Linked DNA regions of Drosophila melanogaster. The protein of the gene in region 1 purifies or fractionates together with the protein of each later gene. This does not show direct contact. Each region holds a gene or a part of one and is shown on either strand. Other genes may lie near its edges. The genes, in order: ND-18 and ND-49.

Region 1 (3,366 bases):
GCACGTTCTAAAGCACACCAAGAAGCACCCGCAGTTCCAGGACAACACCGCCTTCGCCGAGGTGGTGGGCGAAACCCGGCGTCAGCAAAAGAATCATCGGCGCCACCGCAAGAGCAAGCCCACGCTCAACGAGGAGCTGCACCAGCTAGTCAGCCTGCAGATGCAGGCGCTGGAGAAGCAGTGGGAACAGGAGCACGGCGGGCGGCATCATAAGCAAGTCGACCGACAGGAGCACCGCGGACGGTATGTTGAGCAATCCCAGCAAAGGACGCAAACGGAGCGGCAACAGGATCACAAGGGACGACGCGATAAGCCAGCGGAGCGGTTTCAGGAGCACCAATGGCGGCACAACGAGCAAACGCAGCACAGGCAGCGGTACCAGGAGGACAGAGGGCGGCATAACGACCAAATGGATCGTTTTAAGGAGCACAAGGACCGAGGACAGCGACAAGAGCATCGGGACTGGCGCAACGAGCGCAGAGATTGGTACCAGCATCATGATGACAGCCGGAAGAGAAGCCGCAGTCCGAGCAGGCATCGACATGGCGATAGGCGTCGGGAGGAGCGAGAGCCACGCGAGAAGCAGCACAATAGGCATCGCTCCCAAACCGCTCGTCATTAGAGCGGCATGTGATGGTGCCGCTTCCATTGGCAGCGAAACTGGTGGCCATTACATGGTGCTGTGGTCATTTGAGTCCAGCCGACTGTTTATTTGGGTACTCAGATAATGAACAAAGCAAAAAAAAAATCAGATAATTGTGGTCTATAATCCTGGCTAGCTGCGGGGAGCGTCTACTTGGTGGAGACGCGCGTGCGCTTGTTCCAGGCAAAGTTGATGCCGTAGTTCTTGACGCGCTCCTTCTTGGGCTTCGCGGCGCCGTCGACGTACCAGCGCCATCCGTTCCGTTCGCAGAACGTGATGGCCTCCTCTGGGGATCCGAACTGCACGTTCATGTTGGACAATGGGTCGCCGCTGGAACACGAGACGTTGACCAAGGTTGCCATGGCATGGTGGACGTGCCAGCTACTCACCTGGAGGCCCAGCCCATGAGCGGATTCTCCCAGCGCTCGCGGTTGTCGAACTCGATTTGCCAGGTGTTCACGTTATCGGTGCCGCTCTGCATTGCGTTCTTGGGCGGAATATGGATGCGCACACGGCGCTCCCGAATGTGCTCCTCCGGAACGCCGCTGATCGGGCTGAGATTGACGGCAGTCGGCACGGTGATCTTGCCACTCAGCTTGTTGCGCTGCTCCAGCTCTTCGGGGCGGGCCAGGGCCGTCTTGGGGTCCAGCGGACCGCCGTCCGTGGCGGTGGATGCCCAGCGGGCAGCGGCTGCCCTGTTGGCCTGGTACCTGCGGTGTCAAGATGCGAAAGTGGATAATTAGAGGGCTGCAGATTTGCCAGGTCGGATGCACTTGCTCCGGCCAGGCGGGGGTACCTACAGCTGCAGGGAGGCGGTGCTTCTGCACATCACTTGGCGGAGGGCCGACATTTCGCTAGGCGTTTGGGGCTACACGGCAGAAATCGGCTTCAAAATACGAATTACGTAAAATTTGGAACACAAGCGCTTTTCGATTGGGAAAACAGCTGTTCGCCAGTGCCAGTGTGACCAGGCGAGCGGTGAGTGTTTTTATTCTAATTGGAAACAGTGTGGCCCCTCGCCTTGGATGCGATGCCACAATAGTTCAAAAACAGTTTTCTTCTTTTTCACTTCGAACTTCGCAAAAACTATGAAATGCTGTTCAAGTGGTAAAATGAACTTTAAAATGAAAATGAATGAAATGAAATACACTGATGATGAACTAGAGAAGTAACTAGAACTAAAACTATGCTATTTGTAAGCCAACTGTTTAAATGATGAGCATTGCATTTGCCCAGTGCTGCCAGATATGTAGGTGTTCTTAGCTCCTTTTAGCTTAATTTCACCATTAGCTGATTATTGGCAAAGGAGCCCGTTTCGCTTATCGATTCTAATATCGATTTGAATCGGTCAGGGTCCTTATTCTTTCAGTTATTCATCGAACTGCGGAATGCCGCCGGCCCTACCACATGGCAATAGCGAAACGTTGTGGCAACGCCTCGCCTACTTGCAACTTTTGTGTCAATCAATACATGTTGAAAACAGATAAAGACACAAATTTTTCAGTTCATCTAAATTGCCACTGATCCAGGCAGAACAGCACGGCGGCAGAACAGTCCCATCCAGAACAGCGACATGGGCGTTCCCAAGTTCTTTCGCTACATCAGCGAGCGATATCCGTGCCTCAGCGAATTGGCGCGGGAGCACTGCGTAAGTAAAGCTGCTAGGTCACGTTATATGTTGCCATGCACCGTACGGTTCCTTTGCAGATACCCGAGTTCGACAATCTGTACTTGGACATGAACGGCATTGTCCACAACTGCTCGCATCCGGACGACAACAACATACACTTTCACCTGGAGGAGGAGCAGATATTCCAGGAAATCTTCAACTACGTAGACAAGCTGTTCTACCTGATCAAGCCGCAGCGCCTCTTCTTCCTTTCAGTTGACGGGGTGGCTCCACGGGCCAAGATGAACCAGCAGCGCAGCCGGCGATTCCGGACGGCGCGCGAGGCGGAGCAGCAGGAGGCCAAGGCGGCCCAGCGAGGCGAGTTGCGAGAGCACGAGCGCTTCGACAGCAACTGCATTACGCCGGGCACCGAATTCATGGTGCGTCTGCAGGAGGGACTGCGCGCCTTTCTCAAAACGAAGATTTCGACGGATCCGCTGTGGCAGCGTTGCACCGTAATCCTAAGTGGCCAGGAGGCGCCCGGCGAGGGCGAGCACAAGATCATGGACTACATTCGGTACATGAAGACGCAGCCGGACTATGATCCCAATACACGACACTGCCTTTACGGCCTGGACGCCGATCTGATCATTCTGGGCCTCTGCACCCACGAGCTGCACTTCGTGGTGCTGCGCGAGGAGGTCAAGTTCGGGCGCAACGTCAAGCGCACCTCGGTGGAGGAGACGCGCTTCTTCCTGCTGCACCTGGGTCTGCTGCGCGAGTACCTCGAGCTGGAGTTCGACGCCCTGAGAACAGACGAGCACAAATTGGACATTGCGCAGCTTATCGACGACTGGGTGCTGATGGGCTTTTTGGTCGGCAACGACTTCATTCCCCACCTGCCGTGCCTGCACATTTCATCAAATGCACTGCCGCTGCTCTACCGCACCTACATCGGCATTTACCCGACCCTCGGCGGCAACATCAACGAGAACGGCAAGCTCAACCTGCGCCGCTTGCAGATTTTCATATCGGCCCTCACCGAGGTGGAGCTGGATCACTTCAAGGAGCACGCCGACGACTTGAAGTACATGAACAACAAATCAGAGGCGTT
Region 2 (5,664 bases), on another chromosome or scaffold:
GCAAAATATGTATTTTCCCAACCAAGCATTTCACATTAAACCTGGTGATAGTTTGGTGCTGGTAATACGTTTTTTATATTTTGTATTTAGACACAATTCGTTTAAAAGCGTAAATACCATTTGAGCACGAGTCAATGATACATGTATATATTATGATATGGTATTCTGTTCCTAAAGTAATAGGTGTAGAAAAATATATATGTATATTATAATAAAGAAAAGTAGCTACAACTTTCTCGGTAGGCTAGCAGGTTTTTTCAATAGTGGTAGAATCAGATCCGAACATTTTCCAGTCTTTTAAACAGAGTGTCGAAACGAATAAGGCGAGTCTACGTGTATTTTTAATAATTTTTGTGGGTGATGTTATTCTCTAACATACCTATCAGCCCCAATTTTAAAATTTCTAATACCATATATTCATCATTTAATTTTTAGGTATATTGGGATTGGAGATAACTCATTTTCATCAAACATTTTTTTAAAAATGTGCGTGGGTTTGTGAAGTTCTTAGCACTGGCATTGGCGTTAGTAGATTATGCATGCTTAGTCTTAATTTTAATGTTTTTAGTTCCAGAGATAACGATAACAGAGGAAAAACTTCGTTTAACCTCTTACCAACTTTACAAGTAATTAAAATGCAAATAATTTATTTTATTTTGAACGTATTTATATTTATATATTTAAGCAGTTTCGTACAGAGAAGACACACATTCTCTAAAAACAACTAACGGTCTATCTCCCCAAATACGACATCCAAAGTTCCAATTATTGCAACGACGTCGGCTAGCATGTGCTGCTTTCCAATCTTCTCTAAAGCTGCCAAGTGAGCAAACCCTGGAGCTTTGATTTTGCACCGGTATGGACGACTGGACCCATCTGATATAAGGTAAACTCCAAACTCGCCCTTCGGAGCCTCTATTGCCGTGTATGTTGCCCCGGGTGGAACTTGATATCCTTGGGTAAATAACTTGAAGTGGTGAATAAGTGCCTCCATGGATGTCTTCATTTCGGACCGTGACGGAGGCGCCACCTTGGCATCATCCGTTTTAATTTCTCCAGCAGGCATTTGGTTTAGGCATTGATCAATAATTCGTAATGACTGGCGCATTTCCTCGACCCGGCAAAGATATCGGTCGTAGCAGTCCCCTTTGGTGCCGATGGGAACATCAAAGTTTACCAAATTATAGGCATCGTACGGCTGCTGCTTTCGAAGATCCCATTTTATGCCAGATCCACGCAACATAACTCCACTGAAGCCATAGTTCAAAGCTTCTTCTGCAGTTACGATCCCAATGTCCTCGGTCCGCTGCACCCAGATTCGATTTGTAGTTAACACATCCTCCACTTCGTCCAACCGCTCAGCAAACTTTGATGCAAACTCATAGATATCGTCCATAAGACCAAGAGGCATATCCTGACATACAACGTAAGACAATTAAATTATTTTTCAATATTCATGCGAATGCATTACCAATGACACCCCGCCAGGACGTATGTAGGCAGCATGCATTCGGGCACCAGAAACTCGCTCATAGAATTCCATCATTTTCTCTCGCTCCTCGAATAGCCAAAAAAATGGCGTTAGAGCACCAACATCTAAGGCATGTGTTCCGACGGCCATAATGTGATTGAGAATACGAGTAATCTCGGCAAAGAGAGCTGCGCAAAAAATAACAATTTCACATAATTATTACAAATTTACAATTTTAGTGAATGGTGAAGAAGTGGTGACAAAAAGTTATTTTTTTCGATCAATTTATATTTGGCTGGCTAAAATTCTTCAAGCGGTCCGACGATCATTAATTCGATAAGACCGTAAATTCATACCGTCCTACCAATGAGCGCTGCAAGTCAGTTTTCCCAGAAAAGAATATAATTTATAGTCTCTTCTAATTATCTTTTATATTACCCTGATATCTTGGCTCATTTTTCAAGCTTCGAAATATGTATGTTACATGGTTTGAGCAAGGACACTAGAATTATTCTAGTGTCTTTGGTTTGAGAGACAAGAACTACACGAACCATTGGTTTTAATATATTTTTGTACAAGAAAAACAATTTTCAGTGCCAAAAATAGTGGGTACTTTTTCATCTCACTTTAAATTTTAGATTAAAATAATTTTAATAATCAAACCCAAATTTAAAATATTTTTTTTTTGGTAATCAAAAATTAAATAGAACTTTTAAAAAGATTTTGTTGCGTAAGATTTATGGCGATGGTGACAATGCTAAATTATAATATATATATACATATATTAAAAAAGCGAAACTATTGAAATCTTCTTAATGACTACAAAGTCAAGAGCAAGAGAAAATTACTTTGTATTCTTACTTCGAATGTACTTAGCACGGAGAGGCACATCAATATTAAGGAGTTTTTCTACAGCCAGAGAGTAGCATTGCTCGTTGCACATCATCGAGACGTAGTCCAGCCGGTCAAAATACGGCAATGCCTGGGTGTATGTCTTGTACTCTATGAGCTTTTCGGTCCCACGGTGCAGCAGCCCAATATGCGGATCGGCACGCATAACGGTCTGCAATAACAGAGGTTTTAATTTACACAAGACCTGTGGTCGATTAACAGCTTAAACCTCTCCATCCAGCTCCAGCACAAGACGAAGGACTCCGTGGGCGGCGGGATGTTGTGGGCCGAAGTTCAAGGTCAGATTACGCACCGACTTTTCGACAGGCGTTACTTTGCCTAGTAGAGGAGGTAAGTCAAGCGATTAGTTCAAGGGTCAGTTTAATATTGGGTTACCAACTAACTGTTCCATGGTGGCACTGTCCAAAGTGATGTGACCTCGTCTGGATACATCACCGGGCCGCTAAACTGCTTCATGAACTCAGGGTCTGGATACCACTTGGCTGCTCCCCGTCGCGTCTCCTGAGAACTAAACAACGAGTTTCCAATTGGACAAATATAAATGATATATTCGAATTATGTAAGCATTTACTATTTACGTTAACGCGGCCGATCCAGCTGCAACAAGTTGTGGCCGCAGCCTCAAGTGTGAAAGTCCAGGAATCAACGTTCTTCTCATTATATTGGCCATCCTGATAGTCAAATTCCTCTATTTATGTTTCTTTAGTAACAATTCAGGAATCTAATACAACCAAATAGTTATCCGCAATCGGAATTCTATCCAAAAAATATCGAAAATTACTTTAAACACCGAATCTCGTACAGCTTATATACTATTTACACCAATAATATATCGCAGGTTGTTGCTTCATGAAAATGAAGTGCAAAACACATAAATTCCCTTATATATATTACACACTTTGTCATCCTGCTCGTTTACCCAAGTTTTTATTTATCTTTATATAATGTTATAAACAATAATTGCAATTAATTTTTCGAAGACCTGAATTTTACATCATCCCAATGAAGCGAATTTTGCGTTAATGGAGCACTATAAAAATATAATTACTAGAGATAATAATGATAGCTTCTGCAAGGCTAAACTTATATATCTTAGCAGTATCTCAGCAGAGCGAATGTGGACATTTAATGACTAAAAACAACGAAACTATTTAAATTCTTTAATTAACAATTGATTTCTGGACTTTTCGTCCGATGACTAAACTTAAGAAAACAAAATTATGAAAACTCTTTTAACTTGAACAAAAATTTTATGCAGTCAAGAACCGGTGCTAAGAGATAGTAACGTAAAAACGGATGATCGGACAGACGGTAGTGCTGACTCGGCTCTTGATACTGACCATATATATATTTACTTCAAATTCTTAACTCTTTCACTGGGTTTCAAACTTCTTACACCAATCAAAATAGGTTCGACACGGGTAATAGATAAATTTTAATAATTATAAAATTATTCTTAAAACATAAAATAGTGCTTAAGCCTAGCTAAAAAATTTACTAGGAACTTACATAATGGTTCTGCTACAACAAATGTCAAATAAAATCTTTATAAGACAGTTTCCTATCAATATGGTATGGTTTTTACTGTGAATATTACTTATAGTAGAAATTCGCATATGTTAAATTCAAAAAAAAAAAAAAAAACCAAACCATTTGACTTATATTATAAGATTATACGGGCCTTTGGAAAAAAATCGCTATCGATTGATTTGTAAAATTATCGATGCCCTTAAGTTTCTTTATACATCGAAAGTTAAAGTAAACATCGTTTTTTGTTCCAGCTCTAAACAAGTTTTTTTTATAGCTCTAGCTCTACAGTATTTATATAAATAATTCTTGTATGTAGTCCAAGTGTAGAAAAAACTAATTTAAATGAGCTGTTTTCGAGTATTTCTCTTCAGACAAAAACCTGTTTGGAACAATTTTTAATCATGTGAAAATGTAATTTTGAAAAAGATGTACCAAAAAAGGAAGACGGTGTTATGGGCATATATGTATATTTTGTGTTTTTATATGTCAACTATGTTATACCAACATATTTGTACCGGATTGTTAATCGTATCGAATAAGAATGTTTCCCCGAGAGTAAGATGTTTGTGTATATATAGAGTTTCTTCTGTCTCCTCGGAGAGTGTGTCGTCACTGTGTATGTATACAGAAATGTCTTTTGGTGTATACATACATATGTAATTGTATAATGCTGTTGGGATGTTTTATCACTTAAACATACAATTTTTAAGAAATATATTGATTGTTCCGTTATAAATTGAATGTCAAGAACTGCAGATCCGCTATATATTGTTGATCTTATGCCATGTTGATTGTTTATGACTATGAATGTTAAAAAATATATTAATATTTCGCCAAGCCATTACCAACCCTGTTTGTATAGAAAATGTACCATACATGTATTAAAATGTAGTATCCCACTTAAATTGATAATTGGTTTGCCGGCCTGTTAAATAAGTATTTTTGATCAATCAGGGTCGAATCAAATCAATTAGGCGGTTTCCAAAGTTAAAGCGAAGTACTTTTAAAAATCTCGTAATCTGTCAGGTGGCGGTAGTCAACATATAAATATTGTTGATCAGCATTAACAGCTGCTTATTTCGCCGACTGCCGCCGAACGCGGCGCAAACAGGATCCCTCAGTCTTAGGCTGTTTGTTTTAAAGATCAACTTGTATAAACTTTACATAAAAATATAAATACGCATAATATGCTACTGTTACATTAAAATGTTAACGCGTAATGATCTCAAAGCTTAGAATGAGTAGATATAATATGTAGTTAGATTTTGCAATGGGTAAACTAATTTCAGTCAGGATTGTCAACGAAGTAAAGGAGGAAATGTCAATAGAAGAACACATATTCTTGATCAGTTTACACAGCCATGTCGATATATTTTTTGTCTTTCTTTCCGTTTGCCAAACGACCTTCGAATTGAAGGTTGAAATCCTTTTATTTTGTAGTTCATATACATATACGGGTCGAAAAAGAATGCCGTTAAAGTATTGTTTCTTTTTTAACTGCCTAGTAAACTTTTTGACGAGATAAATTGAAAAGTATAATTCCGCTCTAAAAAAGTCGGGTTAAATTTTCTAAGAACCCTAGGTATTATATCAATTTCATTTTCAGTATCAAAATTTAATCTTGAAGAGGTGAAAACTAAGTCTACGTTAAAAAGAATACTAGACCTAAATCACAGATGAAAAAGAAACAATAATTTAACGGCCTTTTCAATTTAATTTTTTCGGATTGTTCCTATATATGCATATATATT

What was found.
Region 2: the proteins of ND-18 (region 1) and ND-49 purify together in Drosophila melanogaster (affinity purification with mass spectrometry, with the first as the bait; one large-scale study listed by BioGRID). This does not show direct contact.

The regions. Positions count from the first base shown.
Region 1 is NC_004354.4:19,490,664-19,494,029, reverse strand, and holds ND-18 (NADH dehydrogenase (ubiquinone) 18 kDa subunit), read right to left. Parts: upstream 1,610-3,366; 5' UTR 1,494-1,609; coding exon 1,444-1,493; intron 1,354-1,443; coding exon 1,033-1,353; intron 974-1,032; coding exon 793-973; 3' UTR 693-792; downstream 1-692. Other genes in the region: CG12204 (uncharacterized protein), read left to right, coding at 1-622; pcm (pacman), read left to right, coding at 2,217-2,291, 2,351-3,366. UniProt on the Drosophila melanogaster protein: Accessory subunit of the mitochondrial membrane respiratory chain NADH dehydrogenase (Complex I), that is believed not to be involved in catalysis. Complex I functions in the transfer of electrons from NADH to the respiratory chain.
Region 2 is NC_004353.4:567,643-573,306, forward strand, and holds ND-49 (NADH dehydrogenase (ubiquinone) 49 kDa subunit), read right to left. Parts: upstream 3,913-5,664; 5' UTR 3,893-3,912; intron 3,149-3,892; exon of another isoform or gene 3,140-3,148; 5' UTR 3,054-3,139; coding exon 2,962-3,053; intron 2,892-2,961; coding exon 2,767-2,891; intron 2,702-2,766; coding exon 2,592-2,701; intron 2,535-2,591; coding exon 2,333-2,534; intron 1,660-2,332; coding exon 1,472-1,659; intron 1,415-1,471; coding exon 725-1,414; 3' UTR 654-724; downstream 1-653.